3 linked regions of the Cricetulus griseus genome follow. The protein of the gene in region 2 interacts with the protein of the main gene of each other region in a biochemical or structural test. Links are inferred from orthologs where the notes say so. Each region holds a gene or a part of one and is shown on either strand. Other genes may lie near its edges.

What was found.
Region 1: the proteins of Fgf9 (region 2) and Fgfr3 form a complex in vitro, tested with the Homo sapiens proteins (3 studies listed by BioGRID and IntAct, with this or other methods). The link is inferred for Cricetulus griseus from reciprocal best matches to the Homo sapiens genes FGF9 and FGFR3.
Region 3: the proteins of Fgf9 (region 2) and Fgfr1 interact in a biophysical measurement, tested with the Homo sapiens proteins (2 studies listed by BioGRID and IntAct, with this or other methods). The link is inferred for Cricetulus griseus from reciprocal best matches to the Homo sapiens genes FGF9 and FGFR1.

The regions. Positions count from the first base shown.
Region 1 is NW_023276807.1:102,792,565-102,799,082, forward strand, and holds the end of Fgfr3 (fibroblast growth factor receptor 3), read left to right. Parts: intron 1-191; coding exon 192-313; intron 314-591; coding exon 592-702; intron 703-778; coding exon 779-969; intron 970-1,086; coding exon 1,087-1,209; intron 1,210-1,289; coding exon 1,290-1,360; intron 1,361-1,588; coding exon 1,589-1,726; intron 1,727-1,877; coding exon 1,878-1,983; intron 1,984-2,132; coding exon 2,133-2,279; 3' UTR 2,280-3,788; downstream 3,789-6,518.
Region 2 is NW_023276807.1:213,232,680-213,239,747, reverse strand, and holds the end of Fgf9 (fibroblast growth factor 9), read right to left. Parts: intron 2,776-7,068; coding exon 2,530-2,775; 3' UTR 2,501-2,529; downstream 1-2,500.
Region 3 is NW_023276807.1:58,200,750-58,207,906, forward strand, and holds the end of Fgfr1 (fibroblast growth factor receptor 1), read right to left. Parts: intron 7,110-7,157; coding exon 6,919-7,109; intron 5,941-6,918; coding exon 5,818-5,940; intron 5,572-5,817; coding exon 5,501-5,571; intron 5,171-5,500; coding exon 5,033-5,170; intron 4,743-5,032; coding exon 4,637-4,742; intron 4,533-4,636; coding exon 4,356-4,532; 3' UTR 2,379-4,355; downstream 1-2,378. UniProt on the Homo sapiens protein: Tyrosine-protein kinase that acts as a cell-surface receptor for fibroblast growth factors and plays an essential role in the regulation of embryonic development, cell proliferation, differentiation and migration.

The sequences.
Region 1 (6,518 bases), about 110 Mb from region 2:
GGAGAGTTACTAGGCAGGGACCTGTTGAAGGTGGGATGAGATGTTCCTGAGGTAGAGTGCGGGGTGAGATTTGAGGTTTACTTTTGGTCTTCATGAGCAAATGCCCATGGAGCTTCCAGGACACAGTGGCACATGACTATGAGTCCTGGGAGTTCTGGGCACACACTTACTGCCTCTGCTTCTGTGGCCAGGCTGACACTCGGTAAGCCCCTTGGAGAAGGCTGCTTTGGCCAGGTTGTCATGGCAGAAGCTATTGGCATTGACAAGGACCGAACTGCCAAGCCTGTTACGGTGGCTGTGAAGATGCTGAAAGGTGAGAAGGGAGAGAAGTAGAAGGGCATTTTATTATTATTATTATTATTATTATTATTATTATTATTATTATTGGTTTTTCGAGACAGGGTTTCTCTGTGGCTTTGGCGGCTGTCCTGGAACTAGCTCTTGTAGACGAGGCTAGTCTCCAACTCACAGAGATCCTCCTGCCTCTGCCTCCCGAGTGCTGGGATTAAAGGCGTGTGCTACCACTGCCTAATGTAGAAGGGCATTTGAGGGCTGTGGGGCCATTAACAGACAAAACCATTCCTGCTATAGATGATGCCACTGACAAGGACCTGTCGGACCTGGTGTCTGAGATGGAGATGATGAAAATGATTGGCAAACACAAGAACATCATCAACCTGCTGGGGGCCTGCACACAGGGTGGTAGGTGCAGCAGGTGGGCAGATTGGTAGAGGGGGGCTCCTGAGTCACACAGCATCTCAGCTGTGTGTATTCCCAGGGCCCCTGTATGTGCTGGTGGAGTATGCAGCCAAGGGCAACCTACGAGAGTTCCTGCGGGCACGACGGCCTCCAGGCATGGACTACTCCTTTGATGCCTGCAGGCTGCCAGAAGAACAGCTTACTTGCAAGGATCTTGTGTCTTGTGCCTACCAGGTGGCCCGGGGCATGGAATACCTGGCTTCCCAGAAGGTATGCAGAGATAGGTCCCAGACCAGGTGGGGTCTGTCTGGGTGGAAGAGTGAATATCAAACTTGCCTGAGCTGGGGAGGTGTCAGCTTAGCCCAGGTTCCTTGTATGTTTCCTCAGTGCATTCACAGAGACTTGGCTGCCAGAAACGTGCTGGTGACTGAGGATAATGTGATGAAGATTGCAGACTTTGGCCTGGCCCGTGACGTGCATAATCTAGACTACTACAAGAAGACCACAAATGTGAGCCCTGGTCTAGGGTAGTTTGGGTGTAATGCTCCACTGGTGGACACATGAGAGCCAATACCTCTCCCTCTGTCCAGGGCCGGCTACCAGTGAAGTGGATGGCACCAGAGGCCCTGTTTGACCGAGTCTACACCCACCAGAGTGATGTGTATGTATCCCCACATAGGATGGGGCTAGGGAGTTGCACCTCTCACAGCCTTCAGGATCCTGGTCCTCCCAGGCTGTAGTTTATCCCCTCATTGGGCCAACAGTATAGCCCTGGTGTCTTACTTATCCTGGTGCCCTCACCCCTTGCCCATTGGTGGTGTGTCCTGGTGCAGGGCTGCAGCAGCAATGGACCAGGAGTAACAGGCCTTTTGTCCTCACTCCCTTGCAGCTGGTCCTTTGGGGTCCTTCTCTGGGAGATCTTCACACTGGGGGGCTCACCGTATCCTGGCATCCCAGTGGAAGAGCTCTTCAAGCTATTGAAAGAGGGCCACCGCATGGACAAGCCAGCCAACTGCACACATGACCTGTGAGCAAAGCATCCCTTGCTCATTCCTCTACCCAGTCCCTGGGGATGGCAGGATTCCTACCAGGGTCCCTGGGATGAGTAGAGGATTAGTGGCTGGGATGAGGTAGGGATTGCCTGCAGGCCAGGAACTCAATAGCTATACCTGCCACAGGTACATGATCATGCGGGAATGTTGGCATGCGGTACCTTCACAGAGGCCTACCTTCAAGCAGCTGGTAGAGGACTTAGACCGCATCCTTACTGTTACGTCAACTGATGTAAGTGCCACTCAATCCTACTCCCTCTGGGTGTTGTTCCTTGGGGCTCCAGTGGTGGGACTGCCCTTGAAGGTCACAGTCTGAACACAAATGGCCATGGGATTGAAGAGAGTGCCAAGGCACATCCTGACAGCCTTGTCTACCAACAGGAATACCTGGACCTATCGGTGCCTTTTGAGCAGTACTCGCCAGGTGGCCAGGATACTCCTAGCTCCAGCTCTTCAGGAGACGACTCTGTGTTCACCCATGATTTGCTGCCCTCAGGTCCACCCACTAATGGGGGACCTCGGACGTGAGGGGCCAACAATCCTACAGACCAAGCCCTAGCCAATGTTTACGCGGAACCTAGCCCGCTCTGCTATTGCTGGTGTGCAGTGGACTCCAGCCAGCCCAGTGTGATGGACCAACAATAGACAGGACTTCCTGTGTGTGTGTGTCCTTGGCTCCTGGGTGCAGAGGCCCCTTGGGAACATGCACTGCTGTACAGTGGTCTTCTGACTGGCCAGGGTCAGGAGCACCAAATGTAGAATGTAAAGAGGGCCCACCCTGTGCAACCCTGGGGTTCTGGCTCCCTCATTTCCCACTGCCACCTCCCAGGGACCATTGTAGAGAAGGCTATACTCCCATGTCCAGGGTGGACCTTGGCCTTTTTGGTGCCTAAAGCTGAGCCTGCAGGGAAGCTCTGCCCTATGTGGCGAGCCTCTCTTCTACATGGCACCTTGTGTTTGGTGGTGAGTCACAGCTCTCCACCTCCAGGCCTTCTATTTCTCACCCCGACCCTCAGACTGAAATTACGGGTACCTGAAGGTGGGAGCTATAACTTCTATCAGAAAGGTTTATTCCAGAAACAAATGTACATTTATATAAATAGATGTCCTGTATGATATATACATACATATATATAAAAGAATATCTATATGGAGGCAGGCAAAACTGAGGTCCAGAGGAGCAAGATACCCCATAGGGCTCACTGGTAAAATGCCAAGAACAAGCCAAGAAGCAAGGAGCTTTTCTGGCACCACAGTTTTGTTTGTACATGGACCTGTATATTTGTAAAGCTATTTATCATCCCTCAAAGCCCCAGCCCCCCCACCCCAAGTTCATAGTATTTAGTTCTAGGGTATTGCAGAAACTTTTAAGTTGTAACTTATTAACAGTTGAAGAGGTTTATGTGGAATTTTGGGGGTTGCTGAGAATGTGCATCTGGCCCCCAAGGACTAGAGGCAGCCCTTGGAGCTCCAGCAGCCCTCGAGTTAGAGGTGACTCCAGTTCTTACTTCCTTTGGCCCTCTTTCATGGGGGATTAGATTTATATAGGACCTTCCTCTTAGGAGATTTTTAAAAAATTTCAAGGTGACCGGTATTTTCATACAGATTATTCTAATTGATGTATATTCTAGGCAGAAGCCTGTGCCCAGGGAGGAGCCAGCCCTGCCTGAAGGTTCAGATGTTAATAGATGTTACAAGTTTATATATCTATCTCTATATAATTTATTGAGTCTTTATAAGTTGTATTTGCTGTAGCCTTAACACTTCTTATGGAGTGCTTCTAGACTTTTATGGCCTAGACTGCTACCTTTCAAAGCTTGGGAGTAAGAGTGGTGAATTCAGTTTTGTTACTTTTTGTACTGTTACTGGGCCCTAGGCTTGGGTGGCTGTACCTTGCCCATTAGCAAGCAGGGCAAGGACAGTGGCTCAGGGTAACTTTTCTTAGGGCCCAGCACATAGTTTGTCAGCCCAAACTGGCAGATGTGATTTTAACATAGCCAACTTTCTTCCAGAAAATAAAGTGAGAACTGGCTCTGATTTTTTAGAGTGCTTTACCTTCTGTTCTGGGATCTGCACAGCTGTGTCCTTACTGCCTGTGGGGACAGGCGAGGAGGGATAATAGCATCCAAGGAATCAGCAGCCTCTGGTCCCCAGTGCAAGGTGCTGGTCTCAGGCTCCAAGGGGACTAATTATCTTTGCTTTTCCTTACCTGGGTAAGGACAGCTGGGCTCAGGGGTGTCGTCTTGTGGCCGAAGGTGGCAGGTAAAACCTCAGGGTTACTAGTCTATAGGTTCCAAGGAAAGGGTGCAATAGAGTTGTGTCCATCGGAGGCGATCATGGGTGTGTGGAGGAAGTGCTCTTGGCCTCTCCAGCTCCCTGGCTGTCTTGACAGGGGAGGGATCCCATGAAGACAGATGGTGCTTTTAAGTATATGTAGTAATCTCTTTGGGGAAGCCAGGTAACCAAACACCTGGTTTAAGCAATCTACACTGGGCCAAACCTGGTGCAGGGGATCTCTGAGTTTGAGGTAAGCCTAATAATCTACGTAATGAATTTCAGGACAATGTAGAGAGAACTTAGTGTTTCCTTCCTATATCCATTTTGTCTGTCATACTTTCTAACCTTGGGAGAAGATCTAAGGAATGAAATTTCTCTCTTGCTCCACATCTCGCTAGGACTAGGCCCATCTTATAGGAGATTTGCATAGTCAAGGTGACTGAAATACTGGTTCTAGACAGTTGAAATGGGAGGTACAGGGTTTTAGAGGAAACTGTAGGCTTAACTCTCGTTGGTTGACCATAGCAACCTCAATTGGCACCAGACAGTTTCATGCCAGGGACTTGAGCCACATAGATACCTTATGATAGTGACCAGGCATGGAGAGAGAGAGAGAGAGCGCGCGCGGGCGAGAGTGTGTGTGTGTAGGGGCGTGGTACCAGATGGATACATTCTTGTGTGTGTGTGTGTGTGTGTGTGTGTCCGATGGATACATTCTTACCCCTGAAACAGGCTTGACATGGCTTGGGTCACCTGTGTGCCAGTCTGGCGCCCCCTAGTGCCATACTGAGCATAGCTTCCTATGGCAACCTGGAAGTCTTTTTAACTCCAAGAAAAGATTTGAACCAAGGGGTTGGTTCATGGTGACAGAGTGGTCTTGAGAGGAACAGGGGTCATAGGTCAGACCATTCTTGTCCATGATATTCCCATTGCCACCTTAGAAGAGACAGAGGTTTGGGCCTTGAGCTGCACCACCAGTGTCTATTGGGTGGCCACTGCCCAATGAGTAAACAGTATGAGTAGCTCTGTACTACCAAGCATTGGATTTGCATTCAAATCTCCCATGCCTTACTGAACCCAGGCACCTTCTGCTGTGTCTAGTAGTCTCTTTGGGAGGAATCTCTACCTGACTGCATTGCTATTTGGATATGGGAGGCAGTGGTGATGAATGGTTTCCTGGCTTCTGGCTAGCAGCAGGCACAGGTCGGCTCCCAGAACACTCCTGCTTATCCACTGGCATGTAGCTGTGTCCCCAGTGGTCTGAGGATCGGCAGCAAGAATTACTCTCTGGGCTGGAGAGATGGTTCCATGATTTAGTTGAGTACTTGCTGCTCTGATGACCTGGCTTTTATTCTTAACACCTACATGATGGTAACAACTATCAACTCCAGTTCCAGGGGTATGACAACCTCTTCTGGTCTCAGTAGTAGGCATGCACAAGGTGCAATACATACTTGCAGCAAAACAAAATTTTAAAAAAGGCAGGAAACTGTGTCAGATGTCCTGCTTTCCCAATGAGAGACTTGTGCACAATCAAACCCTGACTCATTGGCACATAAGGCTCTCTCCTCGAGTCACTTGGGGACTGAACTTCCATTTACTGTCTTAAATCTATCTCATCTGGATGTTTGCTCTGTTCTCACTATAGCCAGCAGGCGTGCTGTGCCCTTTGAATGGCTGTCCCCACCCTCAAGCAGTTCATACTCTTGCCCTGCAACTTGTACCTTTTTATCCTGGGGAACCAACGTAAATCTTAAGCATTCTGGAAGATGTCAAGAATGGCTACAGGAGGCCACCCAAGACATGCTGTGTCCTGGAAAGACCAGGAGATGGCTACTAAACCTTTACCCTGCTTCCTAGACCCTCCCAGCTGAGCCACTTGAGAGTAAGCATCAAGGTGGGACTTAGGAAGCTGCCTCCACCAGGCCCATTGCCTTCTACATTTCCCTGTGGCTGGATTCTGTCCAAGAGCTGAGTAGAACACTTATGTAGGCACAGGCCCTACTTCCTTGGAACTCAGCCAAAGTCCCAGCTCCTGTCCACCCTGTACCAGGTACAATGCGGGGCTGTGAGGTAACAAGTTTGCGGCCATTTGAGGGGCTCTGCAGGCAGGGAGAGCCTGGTTAGGTGTCAGAACTACTAAGCTAGACAAACTATTACACAGCAGACAAGTCACCAGTGGCACTTTATTCAGTCACCTCCTTACATCAAGTTGTTTAGAGAACATCATCCCAGGCAGCCTGCCAGTCTCACAGGGCCCTGGGTCAGCCTGTAGTCTAAGAAGTACTTTGTCGGACTCCACAAACCAGGGCTGTACCAGGGTGAGGGGTACAGATCTCCTCAGATAGGTCACACAAGGCATGAACCTGGAACCCAGGCTCAAGCCCCTAAAGGTGAGCTGGCAGTCACTGAGGGCTGAGGGGAGGGTGAAGCCCCTCTGAAATCTGTGCCCACAGCACAATCATTAACTTAGGGTGGCCTGAGTTTCCC
Region 2 (7,068 bases):
AAAAAGAAAGAAGTACCAAAAGAAAGTCCAAAAATAGACATTAAAGTAGCATTTTGCTGGGAATGTATGAAAATTTTTAATTTTTGCACAATTATTTTTCTTTCTTCTGGGTCGATTGTTCTGGAACACCTGCTACTTTGTGACTATTATAGGTTGTCTTTTAAAATCGATCTCTTTAGCTATTATAGCTATGACATCTACAAATCTAATCCTTTCCTGTGGTCAAATGTTGAATCCTTTTCAGTAAAAACAAAATAAATGCTTTTGGGAAAGTGGAAGTCTGAATATGTATACGACTTAGCAGCAAGGAGTTAAATAACAAGAACACTGCTCAAAATTCAACACAGCGCCTGTTTAGAAAGTGAAAGGAGGTCCAAAGAACATACATAAGGAGGGCATTCTGATCTTTATCCAATCAACCACTTCAGAGCTTTGGATTCCCCTCTGTAAGACAGTTTTCAATTCCAAATAGGAGCCTTCAGCTCCTCCCTAATGCTCATCAGCAGGGGACATCACCACGTGTTCCAGCTTGGACCACAGTGATCCTGCTCATGACAGGAAGTCAGGCACTTCAAGTTCACAACAGCTTTAGCTTGCCAGTGACATGCTTTCATTTCCCATCGAGAATGTGCATCCGAGCAAAACAAAACCAGAATATTGCGTCTTAAAATGAGCTTCGTAAATTCGAACACATTTTTAAACCGTCACTTCCCATTTCCCAATGTTAGCTGGCTAGAAAGTGAGAACGTGTTAGAGATTCCTTTTTCTTAAGTATTGCTTTAAGAATTTGGCTCATTTCACCTTAGTATAGAGTGAGAAATGGTCTCCCTTGCCCAATAGCAAGTTCCAGAATTTTTGCTCTCAAATAAGTATGTATTCTTAAGCTTTTCCATATAGAATGTTATAAAAAGATTCTGTAAAAGTGTTTTACACAGTAACCTTCTCTCTGTGAACTCTTGAAGACCGATTCAGAAAAGAAAGCACAGGCAATGAGTACAGTACCCCTCTAATGTCATTACTGATAAAGATTTATTGGTTTCATGTTGCAAGTTTTACTTAAAGGGTACTAGCCCCGTGTAATTATGACAGTTCACACCAAAAGCAATCTCCATAAAAGATGTTATAATGAGCCCTACGGTCCTTGTATAAATCCATATTTGATAGCCAAGACACAAATAAAAAGTTTACAAGAATGATCCTGTTCATCTGATGTTTGCCTCAAAAAATAATAATTATTATAAGAGAGGAGGAAGAAGGAAGAGGAGAAGAAAGAAGAAAAAAGAAAGGAGGGGGAAAGGAAGAGGAAAAAGGAGGACGAGGAGGAAGAGATCTGTACTACATAAATGTTTTGTTTTTTTTTCCTCTCCCTTGGTAATTGTAAAATCAGTGTCATGTTTGATGTTAGTCTTGTTGTCGTGGAAGTGGTCTGAAATGAAAAGGCATAGTTATTGCTTAGCTTTGGTACACTCTGCAATAGATTAAAACAAGTAAGACATACACCAACCCTCATTCGTTCCAACCGCCCAGTTACACTGAGTTATGAGAGAGGAAAATTACAGACACGGAGTGAAGGGCTGAGACCCAGTTCATCTTTAATCCTCTGGGGTAAGCTATGAAACAAGCAGTCTGGAGAGTGAACACTCAGTGTCGTGAGCGATGTGCAGAAGTTTACAATAACATGGGCACAAAATAGATTGTCGCCTTTAGTACATTAGGGCCATTAGAATCTCTTGTACACCTACTTGCATGAAGTTACCACAGGTTCATAGCAGACTTTGCCATTTAATGCCTACAGAGCCTAAAGCTTCCAAAATGCCTATCTGGCCTGTACATATTTCATTAAAAATAAACTCTATATAATAAATAAATATATAAAATAAATAAAATGTTGCCTTTGGAATTTCTATAAATAAATTTAACCTTTTTTCTTTTTTTCTTTTTTCTTTTTTTTCTTTTTTCTTCTTCCTTTTTTTTTCTTTTAAACTAAGAGGTCTTTTGCTTTAAGTTCACTGGGCTACGATACCAGTGAGAATGAACTGACAGTCTTTTAAGTGAGACTGCACCCTCCACGCCTGTGGAAAGGCAGTGTTCCCTTGAGCAGGCCACCAGCCAAAAATCCTGATGAGTTGAAGTATGGCAGCTGTGCTGATAAACGATGAAGTTCAACTGATCGAAAATGTAAAAGCGTGTCTATTTCCCAGCATGCATCAGGCCGTTGTCCTCTTGGCGCTCTGCTGTCCCCCTCTCCTCACTCACTCATGCACTCGCACCCTCCCTCTCGCGCAGCCTCTCTCCCCTGCTTTCACAATAAATCAAGCAAGTGGCCCCAGGCAGCCCTCCAGAAGGACCAGCCAGTAAGTGCAGAGCAAATCAGCAAGTCCCCATCCAAGCTTCCATCATACATATGCATGCGACAAAGTTTGGCAACAGTGGAGCTGAGGTGGTGGCCCTGCTAATCAATAAGATCCCACCGCATGAAGCATTGATAGTGGTTATGTTTTAAGGGCTCAAGTGAAGACACTGTCTTTGTCAACTTTGGCTTAGAATATCCTTATATAGTTCAGGTACTTTGTCCGGGTCCACTGGTCTAGGTAAAAAATGTGTAAATTTCTGGTGCCGTTTAGTCCTGGTCCCTTCTCTTGGAGTCCCATCCTTATTTAATGCAACATAGTATCTCCTTCCGGTGTCCACGTGTTTATAGAGGTTGGAAGAGTAGGTGTTGTACCAATTCTCTTCAAACTGTTCTCTGAATACACACTCTTGTGTGAGTTTTTCCTGTCAAAAAAGAAGAAAGGAAATAAATACATTGCAAAATGTAGCTGCCTCATTAAAAATCAATACTCTCCATTGTTACACACAAGTTGAGTCCCCTTTATCCTAGATACTTTAGACCAGACTACTTCTAAACTATTTTTATTTTGGATTTTGAAATATTTGCATATGCATGAAGAGATATCTAGGATATGTGACCCATATCTAAACACAAAATTCACTTACATTTCAAATACACCTTCTGTGCATAGCCTGGAGGTAATCTTGCATCATATGTTTTCATTAAAATTCTCATAATATGGAATTTTCTGCTTGTGACATCATGTTAGTGATGAAAAAATTGTTTAAATGTGGGGACATTTCAGAGTTCAGACTTCCAAATCAAGTATGCTTGAACCATATAAGAATAATCATTTTTTTATTTTAAACTTTATTATTAAAAAGTTGAAAGTAAGAAAAATCACACGTGGAAATTAACAACTGAAAAACTACATGATTCAGTGAACTTCTAAACGGTTAAATTTACTGTCAGAACGGAAGTTGTGAACCTTCGTATTGGATTCTATACTTTCACTATCAAATAAATTGTACATACTTATCCACCACCAAAAATGAAAAATCCAGTTTTAACTACTTCAATGCACTTTCCAAAAACTGTTTTATCTCTATCAACTTAATGACATTTGAATTTCTTATTCAAGATGGCTAAAGCACAAAGAATTTTAAACATCTGGGGAAAGGGGAATGAATCATAATACTGATTTTTTTGAAGACAAGATTCACATTACTTTTTACAATTCAATGTAAAAATGTCAAGGACAAAGTCAAGAAAAGGGTAGCACCTTGATGACTATGAAAACATTCAATCTGCTGACAGCACCTAGACACTGTCTCTTGGGTCTCTTTCATGTCAGACGATGTATTCAAAGGACAGCTGACCCACTCATGATTCTCATTTCCCCACAGCATCTGGAAAGTAGCCTCACTGGGAAGGGTTTGCCCAAGTGGAGACTCTAAGAACCACCTCATTGTCAATACATGTTCATAAAGTACTTGCTGTATCCAATGATGTCCACAGTGTTAACAGTAAGCGAAGCCTGGGAGCATCCTGCTGCATGGATTATTCTCTGAAGTGTGGCACATTCACCTGAGCCATGTCTTCAACCTTTGGGTTATGGAAGCCTCTACCCTTTAAAACTCTGATCTCAAAATGTACAAAACAGCTGTTTTTAAAATCCCTAGGAGAGCCAGGCAGTGGTGGGGCATGCCTTTAATCCTAAACTCTGTAGGCATAGGCAAGTGGATCTCTGAAGTTCAAAGCCAGTCTGGTCTACAAAGTATGTTGCAGGACAGCCACGGCTACACAGAGAAACTCTGTCTCAAAAAAACCAATCTAATTCTAAGGCAAACCATTCTTAGTCCACATTTTAAGATATCCATTATACCTTGATACTCTCAAAGGATTGGCTTGAAGATGTCTCACAGCATCTTTGACTGTTCAGGTCCCCTTACATATAAATGGTGTGCTTGCCTGCAACCTATCCCATCCTCCCTCAGACTTTAAACTATCTCTAGATAACCAATGATACCTAATACAGAGTAAATGCAGGGTAAGTAGTTACATAGACTCATTGAAGACACAGCTTCTTAAACTATGGGGTGTGGTCCCATTGGAACTGCACAACTGAACATGGGGCTCACAAAAGGAATTGGCAACCACAAAAGGTCTCCAAATGTGCAACAACCAAAGCTAATTGAAACTCAAATTCAAAATAAATCTGAGGCGCCGCTGGCAGCACTCTCCCATGTTGCGTCACAGGACTTCACTGCAGCCTTGTTCTGAACAAAACATCATGCGTGTTCCGTACTGCTCACGCTGAGGCCACACAGAGCCAAGCGGCATGGCCTGAAGCTCCTTGGCTCAGACCTGAGACTGTTAAGTACGGAGAACTGTAATGTTTTCACCATACATAAAACCTTTTCTGCTCTTGTAAAAACAAAACCATTTAATTATGAGAAACAAAGACTTTTCATATTTTCCACCTTAATATGTAAACTTTTCAAATTAGAACATCTTTCGATTGTATTATAGAAGATTGCTTGATTTTAAAAATTGTTATTTGAATTTAATAAAATCTGAGTTGCTGACTTGAGTTTTATTAAAAAATAAATTTTGGCTTGAGATTAGAATAGAATTTCCAACCATTTATGAAATGGTCTAAACATACTTCTGACATTTTGTACAATGTATTTATGCAAAGCAGCACTCTCAGCATAAACTATTCAAAAACCAAACTCCTGGTCATCTCTGAAAAGCACTGAAAGTTCTCTGTGTCTGCACAACAAATATTCAGCCAAGATTTAATTCTCTGTGTAAACATAAGCAAGCTTGTCCATTTCACTAGAACGCAAACTGGTTTTATCTTTACATATAGGCCAAAGAACTGTTTCAAATTTTCTTTTCAATTTATTATTATCACGTGTTTGATTTGTGTATATATTTTATACACCCCTATACCCAGGAGCACAAAGCACTCACGAGTGGGGAAAGTCTAAAGCCCTAGTTTAGGAAATAAAGACAACAGGAATGTGTGTGGAGGGTTCTCAGTCCACGGTGGTTGGATCTTCGGAAGCACAGCCAGGGAGTCAGGAGGAATAGCCATAATGCTTTCTGTCTTGACTGGGGTAATGGCTCCAAACAAATCCTCTAGCCCCCTTATTTCATGAGCCACGCTCAGGTGCAGAGATGCCAAGATGAAAAAAGCTAGCCTCGGTTTTACAGGATTTACATTCCCACTGCAAGAAAATCTCTCTGCCTTCTTAAATATCATCCCCTTCCTCTTTCCCTGAGCTCTATAACCTCACAGTGTGGAGACCATGCTGTCATGTCAGCCATGACCAGAAATGACACATCCATCACATCCCACAGCTAGGAACACACTCTGGGCTGCAGTGTGTGTACTGAGGCTGCTCCTAGTGAAAGGAGGAAAGGGACACTTCCACCCTTGGCTCCTATCACCACACAATTGAAACCTTTAAAATCAATACCTTTCTAGTTGCTTGTTTTAAAACTAAGAGTGCTCTTGCGTCCTTTCTGCTGGGCACCTGCTGGTTGCTATCCAAATGGGAAAGTTCATGAAATCAGGGAAAGTGGTACTGGCCCTGGCTGAATGCTACTCCAGATGCAACAGTGTCCTGAAGAACATTGATGATGGCACCTCAAACTCTCCCTATAGCCATACTCTGGGGGCTGCAATTGACTGCTACCCTCACCAAACTGGCAGGTGCACACGAAAGATGGGAATTACCAACAGGAGTATAACCACAATCACCTCCTACCTCCTCCAAAGTACCGTGTGACTATCTCCTGGGATAAAACTGTCATTAAAGGTTGTCTTCAGAGGCCAGCTCTGAAACAGAAGACCAAACAGGAGGGCAAGGTCTGAGACATGACACAAGATGGGCAGGAACAAACAATTCTTCTAGAAGCTTAAGTGTTAGGTGTATTTTTGTTTCCATCATTAAAAATAGGAAAAGGTGACTTTTAAAAATTAATTGCTTTGCATTTGTCCACTTGGCACATTGGATAAGTGAGAAGAGAAATAAGCCAGACCCATGGGCGGGCTCTGCAGCCATAGATGCAACCGGTGGCAGACTGAAGTTATTTGGAGTGTTGGTTGCATGAGGACCAAACATGTTCTGTCTTTCCTGTCACTGTGCTTCCCAAACATGTTATGATAGGAGTTTCTGGAGTGTTGACGGTGATTTCAGGGTTCTGAGTTATGCAAAGATAATGGGCAGAAAGATATGTATAGCTTTTATGCAGTACTATGGCAGATCTGGGTATGTCGAGGGGGTCATAGAACTAATCCCTTACAGATACTAAGGGACAACTGTCATCTTCTGCCCCTGTCATTCAGAACGGAGGGCACACAACACACTTTACATAGCACCAAAGCACTGATGCCCTTTTATACTCATATATTAAGCATATGACTTAATACACTAAGTTTAGGAGAAGCCAACCGGATAGATTCATCTTCTCCCATTGTTAGAAAGTCAAGAGGGCTGAAGAGAAAAGGACAGAATTTTACAAATCAACCAGCACTTCAACATAAGTCATGCTGTACCTTGTCTTTTTATTTTTTTATTTACAGTTCTTGGGATGGGGGGGGGCGGCTCATGTCATGGCCCATGTGTGGAAGTCAATTTCACCTTCCACAATGTGGGTCCCAGAGAGTAAACTCGGGTGCTCAGCCTTAGTAGCAAGCGTCTTTCCCCACTGAGCCATCTTAC
Region 3 (7,157 bases), about 160 Mb from region 2:
CTCACAACCATCCGTTATGAGATCTGGTGCCCTCTTCTGGTGTCCAGATATACATGGAAGCAGAATGTTGTATACATAATAAATGAATAAATTAAAAAAAAAAAAGAGTACCTGACCCACCTTTGCAGAGTGATTCCTCAGTGGAACAGTGCCATAAGTACCTGGGGACCAGGTTGGATATACTTCCCAGGAAGGCAAAGCATCTTGAAGGAAAGAAGTCAAAACAGATTAGTGATGCTGGAGCCATTGTTCAGTGGTTAAGACCATTTGATCTTACAAAGGATCAGGGCTCCATTCCCAGCACCTTCATGGTGACTCACAACCATTTCTAACTCCAGTTCCATAGGACACAACACTCTCTTCTGAATTCCACAGGTACCAGTCATGCATGTGATGCACATACATACATGCAATTAAGACTCATAAAAATCTTAAAATGAGATTAGCTAGCCAGGCAGTAGTGGCACACACTTTTAATCCCAGCACTCAGGAAGCAGAGGCAGGTGGATCTCTGTGATCTCTTGATCAACAGAGTGAGTTCTAGGACAGCCAGATCTACTAAGATCCTATCTTGAAAAAACAAAAAACAAAAACAAAAAAAGGCTGGGTGTTGTTGGCACACACCTTTAATCCCAGCACTCAGGAGGCAGAGGCAGGCGGATCTCCTGATGGATGGAAATGCACCCTAAAAAGGATGACTTCACTGCAAAGAAGCACATACCAGCTTTGGAGCCTATCCTGGCACTTGCTCTGTAGACCAGGCTGGCCTTGAATTTACAGAGATCATCATCAGCTGCCCTCTTGAGTTCTGGTATTAAAGGCATGTGTCACCAGGTCTGCTCTCTTGTTAATTTGTTTCATTTGTGGGTTGTTCTGGTTTTTCAAGACAAGGTTTCTCTGCATAGCCCTAGCTGTCCTGGAACTCTCTCTGTAGCCCAGGCCAGCCTTGATAGCAGAGATTAATCTGCCTCTGCCTCCCAAGTGATAGGATTAAAAGCATGTGCCACCATGGCTGGGAATTTGTGTGTTTCATTAGTCCAAACTGGCCTTGAACTAGTAGTAGCTTTACTTGTTTTTGCTAACTTCTAGGCTAGAGAGATACTTGATACCTTTCTCTACCCATCTTTATAGATGATATCAATGCTTCCATTTTCAACATTTAGGATACTTGGCCATAACCCCAGACTGCAACCTCACTAGTAGTGCATTAGCCAATGATCAGTAACCACAGCTGCAGATCCCAAGGATGGAAATGTACCCTAAAAAGGATGACTTCACTGCAAAGAAGCACATACCAGCTGCAGCACACCACTGGAACCTATGACTGGCAGCTTGGCCACTAAACGCACTACTTTTACTAGATGCATGTACTGCACGCATCTGGGAGGCAGTACAGCAAAGATGATTCTGGACATTGTCCAGTGAGGGAACTGGTTCTGGAACCCTTCATAACTTCAGTGTTCTTGTTTAATTTTCTTTTAGACAGGGTCTCCCTGTGCATCTTTAGCAGGCCTTGAACTCACAATGTAGACTAGGCTGGCCTTGAACTCAGATTTGCTTGCCTCTGCTTTCTGAGTGCTGGGATTAAAGGCATGTATGACCAGGTCCAGCCAACCTCAGGGTTCTTGCTGGTCTTCTCCCTTCTTGGTTTCTACCAGTTAAGGGGCTGGAAGGCCGAGCCATGTTGCTTCCAAGTCCGTCCGTCCGTCCGTCCCCCCCCCCCCCGTTCTCTTCTTCCCTGCAGATGTAGGTGTCTTGGCTCCACCAGCTACTAATAATCTCACAGGGTACAATTTAGGCCACCTCTAACATGCACCTGGAGTGACACTAGACACAGCTCACACCTTACACAGGAGTCTGCCATAATAGTTGTTGGTGGCATTTTATTTAATAGTATCACCCAGCACTTGTAACAGGTCTAATTCTGCACAAGCCATATTGGTCACGTCCAGAGTTTTAGAATACTAAATCCAGGCCAAGGATTCCAAATGGAAGGTAGGTCTGTTACTTCAGAGCAAAGTGGCCCACTACCTAATATGGTGGGGGGATTTTAGGTTGCTGGCTCCACCCGGTGGCAGCTGATAGACAGACTTCATTACCATTAAGGCACATTTCTTACTTCATCTATGCTCAATCTTACTTACCTGAAATCAATATATTACATTAACAGAGCCAAGGGACTGATGATCTCTAGCCTCTGGCAATTAGAAAGGATTGAAAGGCAGTATTGATTGATGCCTTGGCCATATTTTAACCCCCAGGAAACCAGACAGATGCAGTACTTTGACAGCACATCTTCATTATATAAGCTGGATTCCCTTTCCCAAGAGACTCAATCTGGTCACCTAAGTAAAATAGCCATTTCATTTTCTTTCAGGTCAATTTCACTATGTTTTATTTGATAGCCATCCCTGCCTCAGGGGATATTTGTGGGCAATTTGAATAGCAACAGCAAGGACTTCAGTGCCTTATATACCCTAGCACCTTTCCTTGAGTCATACAAAGCACTCCGTAGATTCTCCTCCCATCCATCCACACAGCATTGAGTCAAGCAGCGCTGAGGCAGAAATTATGGTCACTGTTTTAACAAGGAAAACGACACTATGATATGGTCTCTAAGCAGATGATTCTGAGCTAAAATTCATTCCCTGGTCCTCTTCGCCGAATTATACCTTTCAGCACAAGAAAACACTTGTAATACTTTGATAGTTACAGGTTTACAGAGGGAAACAATGATAACAACTCTATGATGATGACCAAAACCACAGCCACCAAAAACACCCCGTTCAGAATGTATTTAAAGAGGCAGCCCTAACCCCTGCAGGATGAGGCCATATTGAATTGTCTTGTATTCCCCAGTGACCCAGCAGTAAGCACTAAGAATAGAGCGGCGCTGGTCTGAGTAAGATGATAAGGTGCCTCCTGAAGAGGACAATAACCACCAGCAGGTGGCAGGAGTAAGTCTCCAAGCAGACCCAAACCAAAGAAGATTGTTTTTCCTTTCCTGAGGGGTGGGTGGAGTTTGTACAGGAAAAACTACAAACCAAGATCAGGGATAGTCACAACAAATGCAACCTGGTAACAGGACTCAGGAAGGGCAGGATAGGAATGGGAAAGGAAATGGAGAGTAGGTTGGTTAAGACAAGACTAGCTTTGCATCTCTCATAGATGCAAAGGCGCACCCACACAGGGTTTGGGCTTTGAGTCTCTGTATGGTTTGTTCTACCGTTGGCTAGTCTCATCTCCTCTGAGGAAACAATCTATGATCAGAGGGAACAAGCTCTTAGTCTTGGTTCTCTGCCCTCCGTTACTTTGGTCTTCTTTCCCTGTCTTTCCCAAATCATCAGAGATAGAAGGGTCTGGGAGGTCAGGGAAATATAGAAATCACACAGTGCCAACAGCTCATGGCCCCTTAGTCCCTGTCTCCCTCTTTTGCAGGGGACATCTGCTCCCTTTTCACACGCCCAGGATAAAAATGAAGCAGCAGCAATTTTTATTGAGGGACCTAAACTGAAAATAGGTCTAAAACATAATTTAAAAAAATAAAACAGCAAAAGTAGCAAAAAATATATGACCTTTTAAAAAACATTTTCCTTTTTTTTTTTTTGTTTTTGTTTTTGTTTTTAATATATAGCAATGGATGCCTCCCAGCCACCAGGAGCATCTCACCCAACGGGTAAATCTCTAGTAACGGCCCTTTTAAAAAGACATGTAAATATATACTCAGATTTATACACTTTGTGTTTTCTTCATAGCTATGTACAGAGCCCCGAGTCTAGGGCTCAGCCCCAGGGCCACATCGCTGCCCCCGATCTCTGCCTCACTCTCTTCTGGTACCAGGTATTTGGTCAGCAAAGCAAATTAGTATTGGAATTAAGAAGCCACTGATACCCCCCATCTGAAGCAGAGACTGCCTTCAGTTAAGGCCCGAACAGAAACAAACCCCATTGCTTCAGTAGCCACAAGGCTGCTGCCACCAGAACACAGGAGGCCAATGAGTCAACCAGAACACTCCAGAGAGCTCTTGCTTGCACACCTGTTCCACTTGCTTCTACTCCCCAGGCCTCCAAGGAGTACCAGGCAGCAGGATGGGTCTTGGTCCAACACCTGGGAAGGAGGAAGTGGCTACCAGCAAGTACCTGCCTCTTGACTCCCTTCTCACATGGCCGGTTGAGAAGAGGAAGAGGGATCTGGGGCGGGGTGGGGAGTGACGATGGGGTAGGCCTCACAGGAAGGCCTCAGGTACACACTGGCTCTTGCCAGCAGCAAAGGAGAAGGGGAAAGGCAGTGTGTCCCGCAGGGAATTACGGGTGAGGGGCACAGGTGACGACGAAATTGGGGAAAGGCCGGGGAAGTCAGCGTCTTTTGAGTCCACCATTGGCAAGCTGGGTCGGGTGTCGGGGCAGACAGGGTTCCTCAGGCAACGGCTCATGAGAGAAGACAGAGTCCTCCCCTGAAGAGCAGGTAGAGCTCCGTGTGTCGGGAAAGCTGGGAGAGTACTGGTCCAGAGGCATCGACAGGTCCAGATATTCCTGTGACAGAAGGAAAGGATAGATGGCACACAAACCTTCTTATGGCAGGGTCCCCTTAGTGCCTATGTGATGACCGCTCAAGTTTCAGCCCAGAGTAGCTCTACCTGGTTGGAGGTCAAGGCCACAATGCGGTCCAGGTCTTCCACCAGCTGCTTGAAAGTGGGCCTCTGAGAGGGTACTGCGTGCCAGCAGTCCCGCATCATCATGTACCTGAAGCAGGACAGTGAGGTCAAAGATGGAAGGCAACAGCAGAGCTGGGCCAGAGGGCAGGGGCGGCATGACTCGGGAGGCTGCTCCCTCCAAACACACAGTTTCATTATCTGCCCTCCATGCTCCCACTTCCTTCAGAGCCCGAGGACTTCAAGAACCTCCCATGAGCCGCCACCTAAGGAGCCCTTCCTGATTTCCTCAACATATGACCCAGCTTGCCAGCGGTGGATTCAATGGTGCCAACTACCAGCAGGCCTTCCCCCACAGTCTTTCCCCCAATTCATGCTTACAGCTCATTGGTACAGTTAGTGGGCTTGTCCATCCGATGACCCTCCTTCAGCAGCTTGAAGAGCTCTTCCACAGGCACACCAGGGTATGGGGAGCCACCCAGAGTGAAGATCTCCCACAAGAGCACCCCAAAAGACCACCTACAGGAGAACATGGTGCCACTGTGACTTACGGCACAGGGCCAGGCTGCCCTAGGGTTTCTTTTCTATGTCCTCTTGAGAAGTCAGCAGGGCAGGTGCTCATCTTGAACCTCTCCACCCCCAGCACAGCCCTTAAGTTCAGGAGACAGGGCACAGGAGACAAGGGGGCAGCAAGGGGCAATGCAAAAAAAAGGCTGAAACATGTTCACGGGACAAGACATTGCCCTTCCCCACCCAATGATGGAAAGAAATTCTCAGCAGTCTAGAGATGCAAGACTGCTAGTATTCTTTCCCCAGCATATCCCGGGTAATTGTGTATTTCAAACTCACACGTCACTCTGGTGGGTGTAGATCCGGTCAAACAAGGCCTCGGGTGCCATCCACTTCACAGGCAGCCGGCCCTGCAAGCAGCAGTGTGGGGGAGAAATGACATAGACAGCTCATGGGAGAATTAAAGATGATGGCTCAGGGCAGTGAGGGGACAAGCAGGGCAGGGATAGGTGGGACCCAGGGCACAGCACGTACATTTTCAGCCCATCCTACAGCACCTTTTCTTAGATCACACAACCCCACGTGAGTATAGCAGAGAGTATAGCAAAAGCCTAGTGGGGGTGTGGGACCTGGGAGATGCCAAGCAAGTTACTTACATTGGTGGTTTTTTTATAGTAGTCGATATGGTGAATGTCTCGAGCTAGGCCAAAGTCTGCGATCTTCATTACATTGTCTTCTGTCACCAGGACATTCCTAGCAGCCAGGTCTCGGTGTATGCACTGCAGACAGGGAAGATGGGAGGGGCGGTGACAACCTTGAACCATCCTCCGACACACACCCATCTAGCCCCCTCTACTCCAGCACTTATTGTGTAGTAGGTGGTGGACCACTTTACCTCGTAGGCCTTCTGCCCACACTCCCACCATACTCTCTGGACAACCCCCCAGGATATTCTTTAATTCCCAACACCTTCAGCCGTAGTCTTCTCAGTCACTTTAGCAAGCCCTCCTTTATGTATGCCTTCCTTCTTGATCCCAACCTCTAGCTTTTGGAATTATAACCCCAAAACAGAATGTTTAGGCGTGCACTTAGGCTGTGGAGTGTGTGTACTGAGCCGTGTTCTCCCTGGCAGAGCATGTCTGCACTGGGTAGGGAATTCGAGCAAAGATATAGTGAACACTGAAACCTGTGACAGTCACTTTCACAGACACAAGTCATCTTATCCTCACAGTAATTCCAGGACATAGAAATTAGTATTCCTATTTTTTATCTGAAGAAATACAAAGCTAGGTTCAGTGGCACATGCCTATAACACCAGCACTTGAGAGGCTGAGGCAGGAGAATCACAAATTTAAGGCCAGCCTGTGCTGTACAATGAATTTGAGGCCAGACTCTCTTACCAAATGGGACCTTAGATGTAAATTTAAAAATAGTTGCCTAAGTCTATGCAGAAAGTGGCTGTGTAGATTTCAAACAATTCAATCGGGCCCCAAGGTGACAAGGGCTTTCCTAACTCAGTTTCTCGGAGAACCTAGTTAAATACAAGGGGTCTGGTTTTGTGCACCCCAAGCTCTAAAGAATTAACAGTTGTAAGCTGGAGCCAGGCACATTAATGCATGCAGCATCCTGGCACCACAGAGATGGGGGCACAAGATGAGCTCAAGGCCAGCATGGACTATGTAGTCATAAATTGGAGCGCTAGGTGGCTTCAGTCCCACCCTGTCTTTTGAGGGGAAGGGTGCAATCAGGCCTCATACCTTCTTAGAGGCAAGATACTCCATGCCCCGGGCCACCTGATAGGCACAGGATACCAGATCTTTAGAGGACAGCTGTTCCTCGGGGTTGTGGCTGGGGTTGTAGCAATATTCCAGCCCAGGAGGCCTCCGGGCCTGCAGATATTCCCGAAGGTTGCCTTTGGAGGCATACTCCACGATGACATAAAGAGGACCTACAAGCACAAAGATAGAGACCACAGGTCAGGCAAAAGGTCAGCAGG